2 linked regions of the Tribolium castaneum genome follow. The protein of the gene in region 2 interacts with the protein of the main gene of each other region in a biochemical or structural test. Links are inferred from orthologs where the notes say so. Each region holds a gene or a part of one and is shown on either strand. Other genes may lie near its edges.

Region 1 (6,957 bases), on a different chromosome or scaffold from region 2:
GCTCCTTTATTATTTACGATGTTTCCACTTAAGTTCGTCAAAGAAAAATACATTCAACAAACACAACAAAAAATTAAGTTGATGTACAGTCACCCAAAATGAAAATGACGCGTCCAAAACGCGTAACCTATCATCCTTTGAAATGATTGAGGATTTTTTTGGAAATTGTTGGTTGGGACAAATGACAAATAAACCAATTATTTTAAAATTAGTAGCGACGTGTCAACACCCAAAAAATAATGTTGTTTGCAAATTCATTTGAAGATTAATTGAAGATTAATTAAAATCTTCCACAATTATTTTTATTCTTCACAATTCTTACGGAATAATGTTTTTGCATCAAAATGATAAATGAATTGAATTTCAGATTTTGTGTTTTATTGGCTCGGTTTATTTTGGAAGTACCTACCTAAATAAATAAAAAACCGTATTTAAAGGCTTTAAAAAAGTAAAAAATAACTCCTTTTGCGACCGAATTTTGTCATCTTTCAGTCTACTCTTGACGAAATCTTACCCAAAAACAAACAACTTGGAGAGAAAGTTTCAATTTATTTTTGTAATTTTTAAGCCCATTTTGTCAAAATGCCACCAATTTAGATTTATTTTCTGGATCTTAGCGTTTTTTGATCAAATCTGATTAAAAAATGTACGGTAGGCGTGTTTTTTATGGACGCGTCTTTTTCATTTCGGGTGACTGTACACTTTTATATCAACTACTGCCAGTTGTTTCTGGACTATAATTCCAGTAGTAGGTGTAAGCTTGGTTTAGTTAAAATAAAATTTACATTTTTTACACGATTTAATGAATTGTTTTAGAGTTTTCAAAGCAAAAATTGCCAGCTACCAACTTCTTCTACGTTTCTAATAATAATTAATGAGAAAAACAAATAAGCTGCGTCCATTAATTAAAAATGAATCACAATGTCTAAGAAGACATACTTTCAACTTGTCTCCTAAAGCGATATACAGTTTCGTATTAACATACGAAATTTATGTAGTAACCACACGCAATATGCAATTTTAGTTTCATTTTTGCTAAAAATGAATAACAACTTTCCATAAATCAGCGTTTATTTATATCAATATATATCCATATAAATATAATGATCAATAAACTAAAAATAGAGAAATGGCAACCATAAATACAAACACTTCATGCATAACAATCTAATTTTCCTCAAACACCCACTAAGACGACGCTTTAAAATTAGCCCTTTTTGACTGCCGTTTCCGGAAACGGCAAAAATCGATGCGGTTTCATGTGGAGGCAAGAAGGCGCGTTCGTCCGAAAGCAACCCCCGTCGGGTGCATTTTCGTCCACCTATGAATCATTCTCACTTGGCCGTTTATCAGTTTCAGATCGGTGCCGATTTCGTCACAGTCGAACGAGAAACAGTGAAACATCCCCGAATGAGACACCTGACCTACGCTAATACCTTGGTGGAAGAAACAAGCAAATGTTTTTGGTGCGGTCCGTAGCGAGCAAAATACAAAAGGGGGTGTAACTGACTGGGCCACGGTAATACGTCATCGCTCATCCGGACTGAGTCCGGCACAATTCGGGACAAGTCCGGGACTCCGGCGCGGTAGACGAAGGAATTATCATGTGAATGAGGAAATATACAGAGTGGAACGCTCTCAAAGTCTTATACGAAAAATAAGGAAGCGCTCATATTGAATGGCACTTTTTGAACAGGCGAGGGTCGGCCCCTTGTACCTGACGGACCCCTCTGGTTAAATTATGAAAGTGGATGAGGGCGCCATCTGAGTGACGTGCCCAACACTATGGGATCATGTTACAGTTGCCAATTTTTTTTAGTCAGGAAAAATTTGAAAAATTTTGGTACTTTTCCCATTTCCGTCCTGTTATGTTAATAAAATGAAATAAAATAAAAGAACGTTGTAGCTTTATGCAAATTTTGCGAATTTATGATGTTGTTATAGAAGATTGAACTTTGACATACGAGTTTCTCTAATAAATAAAATCCGTCGGAATCATCTCCGAACACGCTTTTAATCGTCCTCCCTGTATAGCGCGATAACATAAGTGTAGTAGATCGTGCGTTGGCGGCAATAGCGCTAATAAATCAAACTATAAATAAAAACAATTTAAGCAATCGGCGGCCCGTGAAAACCACAGCCGCTTCTTCAATCAATAATTCTTCAGCGACGTTGTAGTAATTTCGAAAAGATATACCTTTGAACATTAGAGTTCGCCATCAACTCATTACTCTCCAGCGTATGAATAGAGCGTCTCGCAATAACGACCGAACGAAATTTTTTGTCGGCTCGTTAGCGATGTCCTCCCGAAATATGAAACGACCTTAACCAAATTATATTCCATTGACCCAAGACTTGAGAATTACGAACGCCGAACTCAAAACACGGATTATTTTGGTCAAAGCGGACGATTTTTTTACGGGAATATAGGACGTGCTCATTTCAAAGGCGTCTAGACGGCCAAATAGGCGAACAGCTGATCGTCCCTCGTGCTCTGACAAGGACCCGATTTGTTCGACGAGGACGAGAACAGAGAAATTCGACTGAGGGACAGAGATGTGGCAATTCAACCCTGATTTTACACGCACTTGACTTCGCTGCAGGTTCAACATTTACATAACTTTGAGGTGCGGACATCGCGCGCACGGGCCAAAGGGCAACAATTAGCACAAAAAATTTTGTTTATTCAAATTTATTTTATTTTGCAATAGATAATTAAGTAGTTCCAGCGGCAATAAATAAGGCACAAATTATGAATGACAAATCATTGAAAAAATAAACAAAATTTATGGTGTTGTACGTCGGCAACTTTAACATTCCCAAATAAATTACTAATTTAACGTACTTTACTATCGACTGAAATTATATAAAATTTTAATTTTAGAAAATAGAGGAAGCAGACGACGAAGATGAATCACAAATAATAAAATAAAACGGTTCGTCATATTGTGCCAAGAAATTTATTTTTGAATCAAAGAATACCCACCAGAAATTTAGGAAAAATAGATACAGATAAATAATTTATTTAATCATTAATATAAATCATTTTCCGGACGACTAGAAAGATATTCAGTTAAAAAATCGTTTACAAACTTACTAAAAATCTGTTTTTCGGCAAAACTATTTAGAACATTTATTATGTAAAAAGTTCGTTTCTTAATTAATTATTATTAACTATTATTTTTTTAATGGAGATATAAATAAAAAAAGTCGTAACTAAACATACTGTCTTTAAATATAACTAGTTAATAAAATCGTAACTTGAACCGTGGTGGTCCAAAAAGTAGGTACAATAAAAACCCGGAAACAAACAGTTTGCTCGAAATTTTTAAAAAAATCTCCCGCCAAAAAAATTTATTCTTGACTTTTGATTCGCACTATGTGTTTAGAAACGACTATTATTTTCACGTTTGGTATTTTGAAATGACATTTTTTTAGTGTCACAGCAATGAATGAAACATTTTTGGTTTGTGCTTTTGAAATGTTACAGTGTGGTGCACGTTTGAACGGCGTGCGATTCGGCCGGAGTTAGCGCGTTTCCTGCAAATAGCGTCCGCAGCAGGAGTCCGTAGGCTTAGACCTATCACCAACCTGCAATGGCCATCCAGGGGTAAAACGTGTGGTTGGTCTGCTGGTGTATCTGCGTGCCAACGGGCTGCGAAGAGGTCGAGTTGATACTGCAGGGGTTATTCCACGAGAGCGAGTTGCCCGTCCGTCCTGCGGCCGCCCCCGGACTCGAGGCCGGATCTCCGCCGACGAGCCCGACCGACCCGTAGCCAACCCTGGAGTCCGGCGTGCATGCCGCCGGCCTGACCGGCCCCGTCAAACTGTTCGTGAGATTAGCGCCACCGCCAGAAGTCGCACTTTGCCAAACGTCCTTGACCGCGGCCGCCGCCACCACCGAGGCGTATCCGTTCTGGTCGGCGTTGCCTTTGGAGCAGTCCGGCTTCGAGTTGGAGGAGTAGTTGGAGTTCTGCTGGCCCTCGGAGGAGTAGAGCTTGCAGGCGGCCGCCACCGAGGCGTCGTACGGCGAGTCCTGCGGGGGCCGCGCCTGCAGGTGGTGGTGGTGGTGCTGGCTGGAGGCGTACGGGGACATGCCGAGCGACAGCGGGAAGGAGCGGTAGGCCGCCGCCGCCGCCGCCGACTGCTCGTGGTGGTGGCCCGCCACCGACCCGCTCTGGTGGTGGTGGCTGCCGTAGAAGCCGCTCTGCTCGAAGTAAGAGTTCATGCTGGGGGCGGCACAAGTCACTCGACACCGGAACCGGACATGACAGTCACACGATTATTATTATTGTTATTAGCGAGAGTGATAAGGTGATAAGAGCTCGCACGAGCACACCACACAGCAGCTCGCTCCGGAATGCACACGTTGGCTACTTTGCTCGCGGATGGGAACCCACTGGAGCTCCGGAGTCTGCTCCGGCCCACACATCCCGGCCCATCGCTCCCCTCTCCCCCCACTCCGGACGAGCACGCGGCTCATTATTGCAGCTACCTGTATTGTCGGCCGATCGGACACGGTCGCACCTAATTAGCGCCTGACCGGCTTCTCCAAAGGCTAGGTTTCCTCCAGAAGGGTCGCGAAGGCCGTAATAACCCCTAGAGCACGTGCTTCTACACGAAGACGCTCTAATGGAAGGGATCATACATGAACCAATAGCAATTGAATTCGTCACAGCCTTCAAGCATTGCGCAAGTGGCCCCCAACGAGACGAAGAGGGGAGGCGCGTGGCGCCAGCTCTCGGACAATTGCTCAACCTTTCAAAACGACACTCTTGCCGAAACGAGCAACATCAATTGCCAATAAAAGATAAAACGACCATCACACCACCAATATAAACAAAATCATCGAAAAGTAAACGCTACATTTAAAATACTCTGATTCCGCTGCCAAACCCTCAATATATTCACCGTTAAAGTACAAAAAGGAAAGCTTATTTTATTTATTATTTTTTTGCATTCTGCATCACAATTTTAATGTCTATTTGGTTTGTTAAAACAATTAAATTCACAATTTCTAAAAACAGTACGTAATTTTATATTAATATTCAACTAAAACAGTAAGATTTATTGACGACGGGTAGATAAGATCTTGTTCTGTAACTTTTCATCGCACTTGATTTTTTAGGCAACAAATCAGACTCCAACCGCTAAACAAGTTAAAATCAAAGAAACACTCCATTTTTTTAAATGTTTTTAGGCTGTATAAAGAGCGGTATGCATTCAGCCCTTTGTTACTGCTTCAGGTACCTATTAAAACATTCTCGCTTTTTTGACTTCATCTTACACTGTACCATGTCGGTATAAAAACCAAAGCTAAAGTTAATTGTTGCTCATTTTCGAGTAAGGGTTTTAATATACTACCTTAATGTACCTACTTTTCTGTGTTCCCAAAATACAATAAACTTAAATTGCATTTGAATGAATGTGCTTTTGTAAATTTTACTGCCCGAAAAACATTCAAACTAATAAAACTAAATTATTTTGGACCGTTTTTTCTTCGTGCACATACCTAATCCAAATCAAATCTCATCGAAAAATACTCGTACCCCATTCCAAACGGATTAATTAGTTCAAAAAAATTATAGAAGTGTCTCTACTGGAATTATTCTAACTACAAAAATCTCCCAACAATAGTAGATCTAGGATCTAGGTATGTATAAATATTTTCTTCAAACAAATAAAAACAAATAATAATGTAATAAATTTCTATTCAGTAAACAGTAAAATTATTAACAACCAATAATAATTTAATGTTATCCTGATAATAGGTAGTATATACTACAATGAGTCGTCAATAACAAAATAGGAAAAAGCCCGTCCGGGTGTTTAAATAAATCCCTTTTGCTCTTATCCTCTTGTCGTTACTGAATGGTTGAGGTTCCGAGGGCGGGGACGGAAAAAGGCCAGATTATTACAGTTTACACAAACCAGTAGTAAAAATTTTACGGCATTGGCACGCTCCTGGCACTTTATGGAGTGGCGGTGTCATAATTTTGCCATGGTCGTAGGTGACATTTACGATCACTCAAATCGTAATAAAATCAACTTTTATTGCTGTCTTACCTCCTTGCATATTGAAAGTGCCGAACTTGACACTTTCCAAACACTTCTCGACATAAGGATGAATTTGGCCGAACGAAAGTTTATTGTATTTTTACGAGCACATAATAGCTACTATAATAGCCGGTAGGTTTGTTCTACGTGTTTTATACCAAAGATAAGTCATTCCTGAGTGATAATTTTATAATTTGATACTTTTTCCTGCTTAAGTACTAATTTTATGTTGCAATAAAACCAATCTACATAACATTAGAACGCCATAAACAATTATAATTAATTTTATGTTTCGGCATGGTTCTCATTCCGAGATTTATTTATTTTTAAGTGACTATACAACACAGATTCTTCAAATAAACGATCAGCGGACGGCTTCCGGAATTATTACGATTATTCGCCAAGATATAGGTAAGGAGAAACATGTTTTGTTTACGCAAGTATACAGATAAAATAGATAAAATATTGATGTAAAACACGTCCCACAGAATTACATTGCTAACTTAATCAACTATAAACCTTGTGAATAATAATGGAGCCATTACATAAACAGTTATGTGGATGGTTTTCAAAAACGAAATTTATTTCAACGCACACGTGCCGCTGAAATATTTATTTCAAATGCCAAGACTTTTTAATAGAGAAAACGGAGCTTTCAAGCTTTGTCATTGTGTGCAAAATGGCGGCCACGACGTCTTTCACTGACAAAGTCTATTTACCTAGCGAAAAATTTATTACCACCGCAAATCGTTAAAGTCCTTAGACAGTTCACACTTCAGAATTGATGCGTTAGGTGAAAAATTTGAAAACCGATTAATTAATTAAATGACTAGTATTTTGATAAAACTTCGTTCGAGAAGCTGGACCCATAACTAACGTTCTTTCGGAGGCTTATCCTAT
Region 2 (5,886 bases):
TATCAAATTTTAAAACATTCTTCTTTTTTTTTAAGTCACCTTAAGTAAATTTTTATTTTTTATATTTTTTTATAATTATATTTTATATTATATATTTTATAATTCTTTATAAATTAAAATATAGTCACTGACAACGTATATTTCACAGCCTTGACTTTTACACAAATGGGAACTTACTTCGTACGAGCAGTAGCGCGTAACAATAACAATGTTGCGGTATTTAAAGATTAAATAAGTGGCAAAAAATGTGAATAAAATATGAACCATTAGAGTAAACAAAGTTAATAATAAAACTCATGATTCAATTTTTAGGTAAATCATAATTTATTCCCGCAACAAAGAGAAAATTTATATCTAATGATGTTACTCAAGTTTTATCATGAAACGTCAAATTAAATATCAACAGTCAATAACCTTATCAAAACACTTGCTGCATTTTTTAAAAAAACAATCAACATTAAAACACTTTTGACATTTGAAGAAATGATTAAATTGGCGCATACTTTGTTATTAATCGCTGAAATGGAGTGTAATAGCTGTTTCAAAACTATAAAAACGCCAACGTCGCTGTTTATTCTTTCAAAAATTATTTTAAAAAAATAATTTGGTAAAATGCAACGTCGGCGTTTTTACAGTTCTGAAACAGCTAATAGGTTTGTTCGATTAAATTTTGTGAGACAACCTGTAGATTTATTTCAATAAATCCCGCTTCGCGGAACAAGTGGCATTATTTTTTCATTCAAGCAAAAACAATTACTTCAATTTGCATTTGTAAATAAACACGTCATGACATCACCACCACAACAAAGAATGAATAATTTTAGATACACTTCTCTTATCAACAATTTCACGGTCGTATAAGGCAACAAACGTAACTTTTTCGCAGCTTCCTCACCTTCCTCCTCCTCATTGGAGTCCTGCTTGACCGAGTCCTGTTTTTCCCCGGGACTGTCCTCCCCCGTCCTTGACAGCGGGTCCTTCCCCGGCTCCACCAAACACCCATAAAACGTCGAATGCCCGATCTTCTTCTCCTTGCCGTCCACCTCGTCCATATTCCTCCCCGACTCCTGCAGCACCTCCGTCAAGGCACTCTTCAACTCGCTTAGATCCCCCTTAATATCCAACGTGGGCGTCTTGTTCGCAGGCTTGTCCCCAACGAAATCAAACTCTTCGCTCGTTGCCACCGACTCATTTGATTTCACGCTCAAACTATCCTCCATAGTGTGGGGCCACTCGAGACAACACAATATCTTATTACGCCTCCTTGCAACCTGCCACTACATCATCGACGAGCGGGGCGTGCACCACGACTGTGAGTTAATCCAGGAGGGAAAATGACACTTTTAAACACATTATGCGAAATGAGAGACGATTTGAGGTGGAAATGTGAGTAAATAAGTGTGGACGTCAGGAATTTGACATTTGATCGGTTTTTGTTTTGGCAGGGCTGACACCCACACGACACACACCAGACGCGGAATTGACCCAAAATTGACCGTTTTCGGGCGAATTTCCACAATGATTGTTTCGCTAAACACGCAAAGTGGTTATCAAAGCAAAAATAATAAAATTTAAGCCAAAATAAGCGTATATCGACGGGCCCAACTCGGTGTAGTGTTGGTATAACTGGAAGTGTCACAGCGGCAAATTTAATTGTGGGGTCTGAGCAGAAAAATTTAAAGCCCACACAGATAAAAATACCCATATACCAAAAAGAAAAAAGCTCACGATAAGTTGTGATTTATGTAATAAGTGGGTATTACGTTCCCCCTCTGGTCTCTATACAGGGTGTCCCAACTGAAATTGCACCCCTAGAATCTCGGTTTACAGAGGAACTAAATTTTATCCTAGAAAGTTATTTCTGCATACCTCTTAAATCACCAATCACATTTCTTTAATTTGGTCACGTGTCCAGTTAATCACGCATTTAATTGCGAATTAAATTAACGACGCTTCGTCTAAAAAATCTAAAACTTTTATTGACATCTGAGTAATTATTTTATAAATCTATCCACAATGACAGTGATTGTTTTTTTTTAGTGAGTTAATTTTTATGGGGCTTTTATTCACGTGAGTCTCTCTACGCCCTTTATTTCCATGTAGGATTTTCTGTGATTATTTCATGTATGTTGAAAAAATGATCCACGTGTTACTACAGTTATTTATTTAAATAGTAAGCACTGTAATTTCATTTTCGATGGAAAAACCTCGGCGTTAAAGCAAAGTTCTCTCACCCAGCTGCTCCTTATCGATAAAAATAAGTAAATATACAAAAAATACTGAAGAAAAACTCGCCTTAACTCCTAAAACAATCAACCTAAAAATATATTGCAAGTACGTCCTATACTATCAGAAAAGTAAAACTTGAAGCAATTGAACCCAGAAACACACTGTACACGATACAAAATTCGGTATACATGGGTTAGTATACAACTGTATTTCCTTAAAATTAAGCTAGGGTTTGATTAGGGCGACAGTTCCTGTGCGTGCATTGGGTCGTAACCACAGCTACTGGCGTCATAGGCTGAGCTCTGGTCGTAGGCCGACCCCATGGAGTAGCCCATGGAGTCCTGCGGGGGCGCTGGGGACATCATGGGGGTCGGGGTGCCGCTGTAGGGCGACGCCCCTGCCGCCTTCTTCGCCGCGTACAAATTGGCCTCTTCCTGCGCCTTCCCGATGTTCTTCTTGTACCTGATTCGTTTGTTCCCGAACCAGTTCGACACCTGGCTCACTGTGATCCCGCATTTCCTAGCCAACTCTTCCTTCGCCTCCTCACTGGGGTAGGGATTAGACAAATGCGAGTAAAAATACTCGTTTAGAATTTCCGACGCCTGCTTGCTGAAATTCCGGCGTTTCCTTCTGGCGTCCAAAAACCGCGATCTGAGGATCATAACAGCCTCGCAAGTCGACTGTTTCAGCTGCATCTGAATCGAGGAGAATTTCTTGTGTATGATTTGCACCATCCGCTCGATTTCCTTCGGGGTGATTGGGCGAGTCCGGGACTGCTCCCGCAGCAAGTTCATAACGTGTGTGGTGAACTCATTGCACGCCTGTTCGTACTTTTCCAGTTCTTGGTGGTAGATTTGGCGGATTTGGGCGAGTTTGGCCCTGTAGTCGCTGTGCTCGATGGCGTTGTCGGGCTGGCCGGCCTGGGCGGCGGCGGAGCCCGAGGCGGCGGCCCCCGCGCCGCCGCCCTTCTCGGGGCCCGCCACCCCCTCGGCGATCAGCATGTTGTCGAGCCGCATCAGCTGGGGGTCGGGGGGCTCCTCCTCCTGCGTGTTCCGCAGGCTGAGCACCGTCTTCTCCTTGATTTCGCACAGCACGGAGAACAGGGCCGGCTTCATGCGGTGGCAGTTGAGGGTGTGTTTGCGCGCTTGGGCCTCGTCGAGGCTCTGGTCGGTGATGTTCATGATCTGCTGGAGGATCTCACCGATGTCCTGCTTGCGGGGCTCGTTCTCGCCGCCCGCGGGCGCGTCCTGGGCGTTCATGTACGGCTGAGGGGGCATCAGGCCGCCGCCGGTGTGGCCCATCATTCTGCCGGGGTCGTCCATGGGGGCACGCAAACGGCACTAGGAAATGGACGCGCTTGACAGCATACGTAAACAAAGCGGGAGGATGTTTGCGGGATGGGTAGTAGGGGCGCATGCGCGAAAGCAGGAATTTTATGGATTTTGAGGGGCGGGTGGGGGAGATTTATGGCCTTTGGATGATATTCAAATTTTGGCACGGATTGGAAAAAGTGGTTTACTAAAGCGAGAGTTGTTTATACTTGGATTCATTCACAAACTAGGGAGGACCAGAGAACTAATGATAGAAAAAATCGTTGATTCTCTTGAAATCAGCATCTAACAGTCATTCAACAGCAAAAAATCTGAAGTAAATGACCAAAAGTTGTGTCAATTTTGAGAAAAATATAGAAAATAGAAACGTATGCTGTAAAATCATACTCTAATTACGTTATTTCACAATCTACGTTGTCTTTTAGTCATTACCAAAAAACTATGCCACTCCACCATAAAACAAATTTGCAAAATACCAGCAAAGTCCGGACCTGTGTAACTCAAAACTCGTCTAACGGACTTAATTAGTTATAATACTGAACACCCCGTTTCATCATTTTAAATATATATTTAAAAATTAAAGTCCCATTAAAGTATTTAATTCTCCATTTAAATTATCTAGAAAATTTAGAAATCAACATAGGAACGAACGAAAGTAGCAACTTATTGTCTTTTGAAAGTGAATTTAATGTGTGATTGTTGCAAAGACGAAAAAATACAGTTTGAGAAAAAATTAATTAATTAAAAAAATTAATAATTAAAAGGACGATTTAGAGAACAAAGATTTTTTGAAAAAAAAGCAAATGCTGATGTTAGAAAATTTAATTACTATTAAATAAAATACTAATAATCATTCTTTATTTTTTTCCAATTGCAAAAACATCATTTTTTATCTAATTTTTTTCTAATCTTTTAAATGCTTTAACGGCGGAATTAAAATCTCGCTGTCAAAATTAGACGTAGGCATTTAAAAACGCAAAATGAGTGACGTTTCACCGTAGACATAAGTCAGGTGACCGAAATCGCTTACGTTGATTGGTTATAACGATCACGTGACCATAGCGAAAGGACGTATCTTCTAATTAAAATATTTTATTTCGCTTAAAATTTACACCTTCTTGGAAACTTAATCCCAGTATTTGATAAGTCCATCCCAGCCTGCTGTCACTAACTTGCTCGGCTCGTGCGGATGCCACAGCACACTGATACAGACATTATCGTGCGCTTTCCACTTCTTATACAACTTTGTAGTTTTCCAATCCCAGATGTAGCACTTACCATCGGCGTCACCCGACACTAAATAACTACAAAAAAAATTGTTAAAACCTACAACTGTTAAAAAAATAATAACAAACCTCAAATCTGGTGAAAAATCAAGTGTGCAGGCATACCCAGCCACCATATGTCCCGTAAACGTCTTTTTTCGATTTATTTTGAAGCGATTTAATGCCGAGAAAATGACAATTTTGTTGTCCATGCTTTGACAAGCCAACCATTTTCCATTGGGTGCTGGCGTCACAGCAGGCATGCTGTGCATGGTCGGGTCTGCGATGTATTTCATATCAACGGGGATGTCCCACTCCCAGACCCTCAAACTTTTATCGTCCGAAGTCGTAACGAATCGGCGATTGTCGTCAACGAATGTAATAGAGTTAACTGCTCCCAGATGGCGGTCGTACTCTTGGACAATATCGCCAGATCTGGTGTCCCACTATAATAAATAATTAAAAAAAAACAAAAACTGAAAAAAAAGCACACATACACAAATGATTTTCTTATCAGAAGTTCCAGCAACGAAGAGGTGTTGTTTGTTCTTATCAGGGTTGAATTTGATACAATAGGGGATTTTGCGGCTTGAAAATCGCTTGACCACTTGACCAGTCTCAGTATCCCACAATTTAATATACCTGTCGTAACCTAAATCACATTTTTTTTGTTAATATACCAAAAAAATAAATAAACATACCGGCCGAAAGAAACAGTTTTCCTGAATTATTGAAACAAATGTCCCTAACGGCTTGCTTATGGCCGTAGTAGGTGCGAACTAATCTCCTTTCGTTATACACTTCCCACAACTACAACAAAAAATACGATTATTTTTTTTAATAGTTTTGAAAAAGCTAATAGTGACTTTTCATAAACCAACATTAAGTTGGCTGTGACTGAAATTAAACTATTCGGTGCTGCCATCTTATTCAAATTAAGAATCATAGGCCACTAGACAGACCTTAATTCTGCAGTCCATGCTAGCAGACAGTAACAAATGAGCCGTTCGGGGGAACCACCGAATGGCCGCAATTCCTTTCGAGTGCCCCGACCACGTATG

The links.
Region 1: the proteins of exd (region 2) and Ubx are reported together in a solved structure, tested with the Drosophila melanogaster proteins (2 studies listed by BioGRID). The link is inferred for Tribolium castaneum from reciprocal best matches to the Drosophila melanogaster genes exd and Ubx.

What each region holds. Positions count from the first base shown.
Region 1 is NC_087397.1:7,099,459-7,106,415, forward strand, and holds the start of Ubx (ultrabithorax), read right to left. Parts: upstream 4,229-6,957; coding exon 3,592-4,228; intron 1-3,591. UniProt on the Drosophila melanogaster protein: Sequence-specific transcription factor which is part of a developmental regulatory system that provides cells with specific positional identities on the anterior-posterior axis. Binds the consensus region 5'-TTAAT[GT][GA]-3'.
Region 2 is NC_087400.1:5,269,556-5,275,441, forward strand, and holds exd (extradenticle), read right to left. Parts: upstream 3,556-5,886; 5' UTR 3,552-3,555; coding exon 2,466-3,551; 3' UTR 2,148-2,465; downstream 1-2,147. Other genes in the region: GAPcenA (rab GTPase-activating protein 1-like), read right to left, coding at 896-1,220; pre-mRNA-processing factor 17, read right to left, coding at 4,687-4,864, 4,916-5,271, 5,323-5,477, 5,527-5,635, 5,788-5,886. UniProt on the Drosophila melanogaster protein: Transcription factor which acts with the selector homeodomain proteins altering the regulation of downstream target genes such as wingless (wg), teashirt (tsh) and decapentaplegic (dpp), thus affecting segmental identity.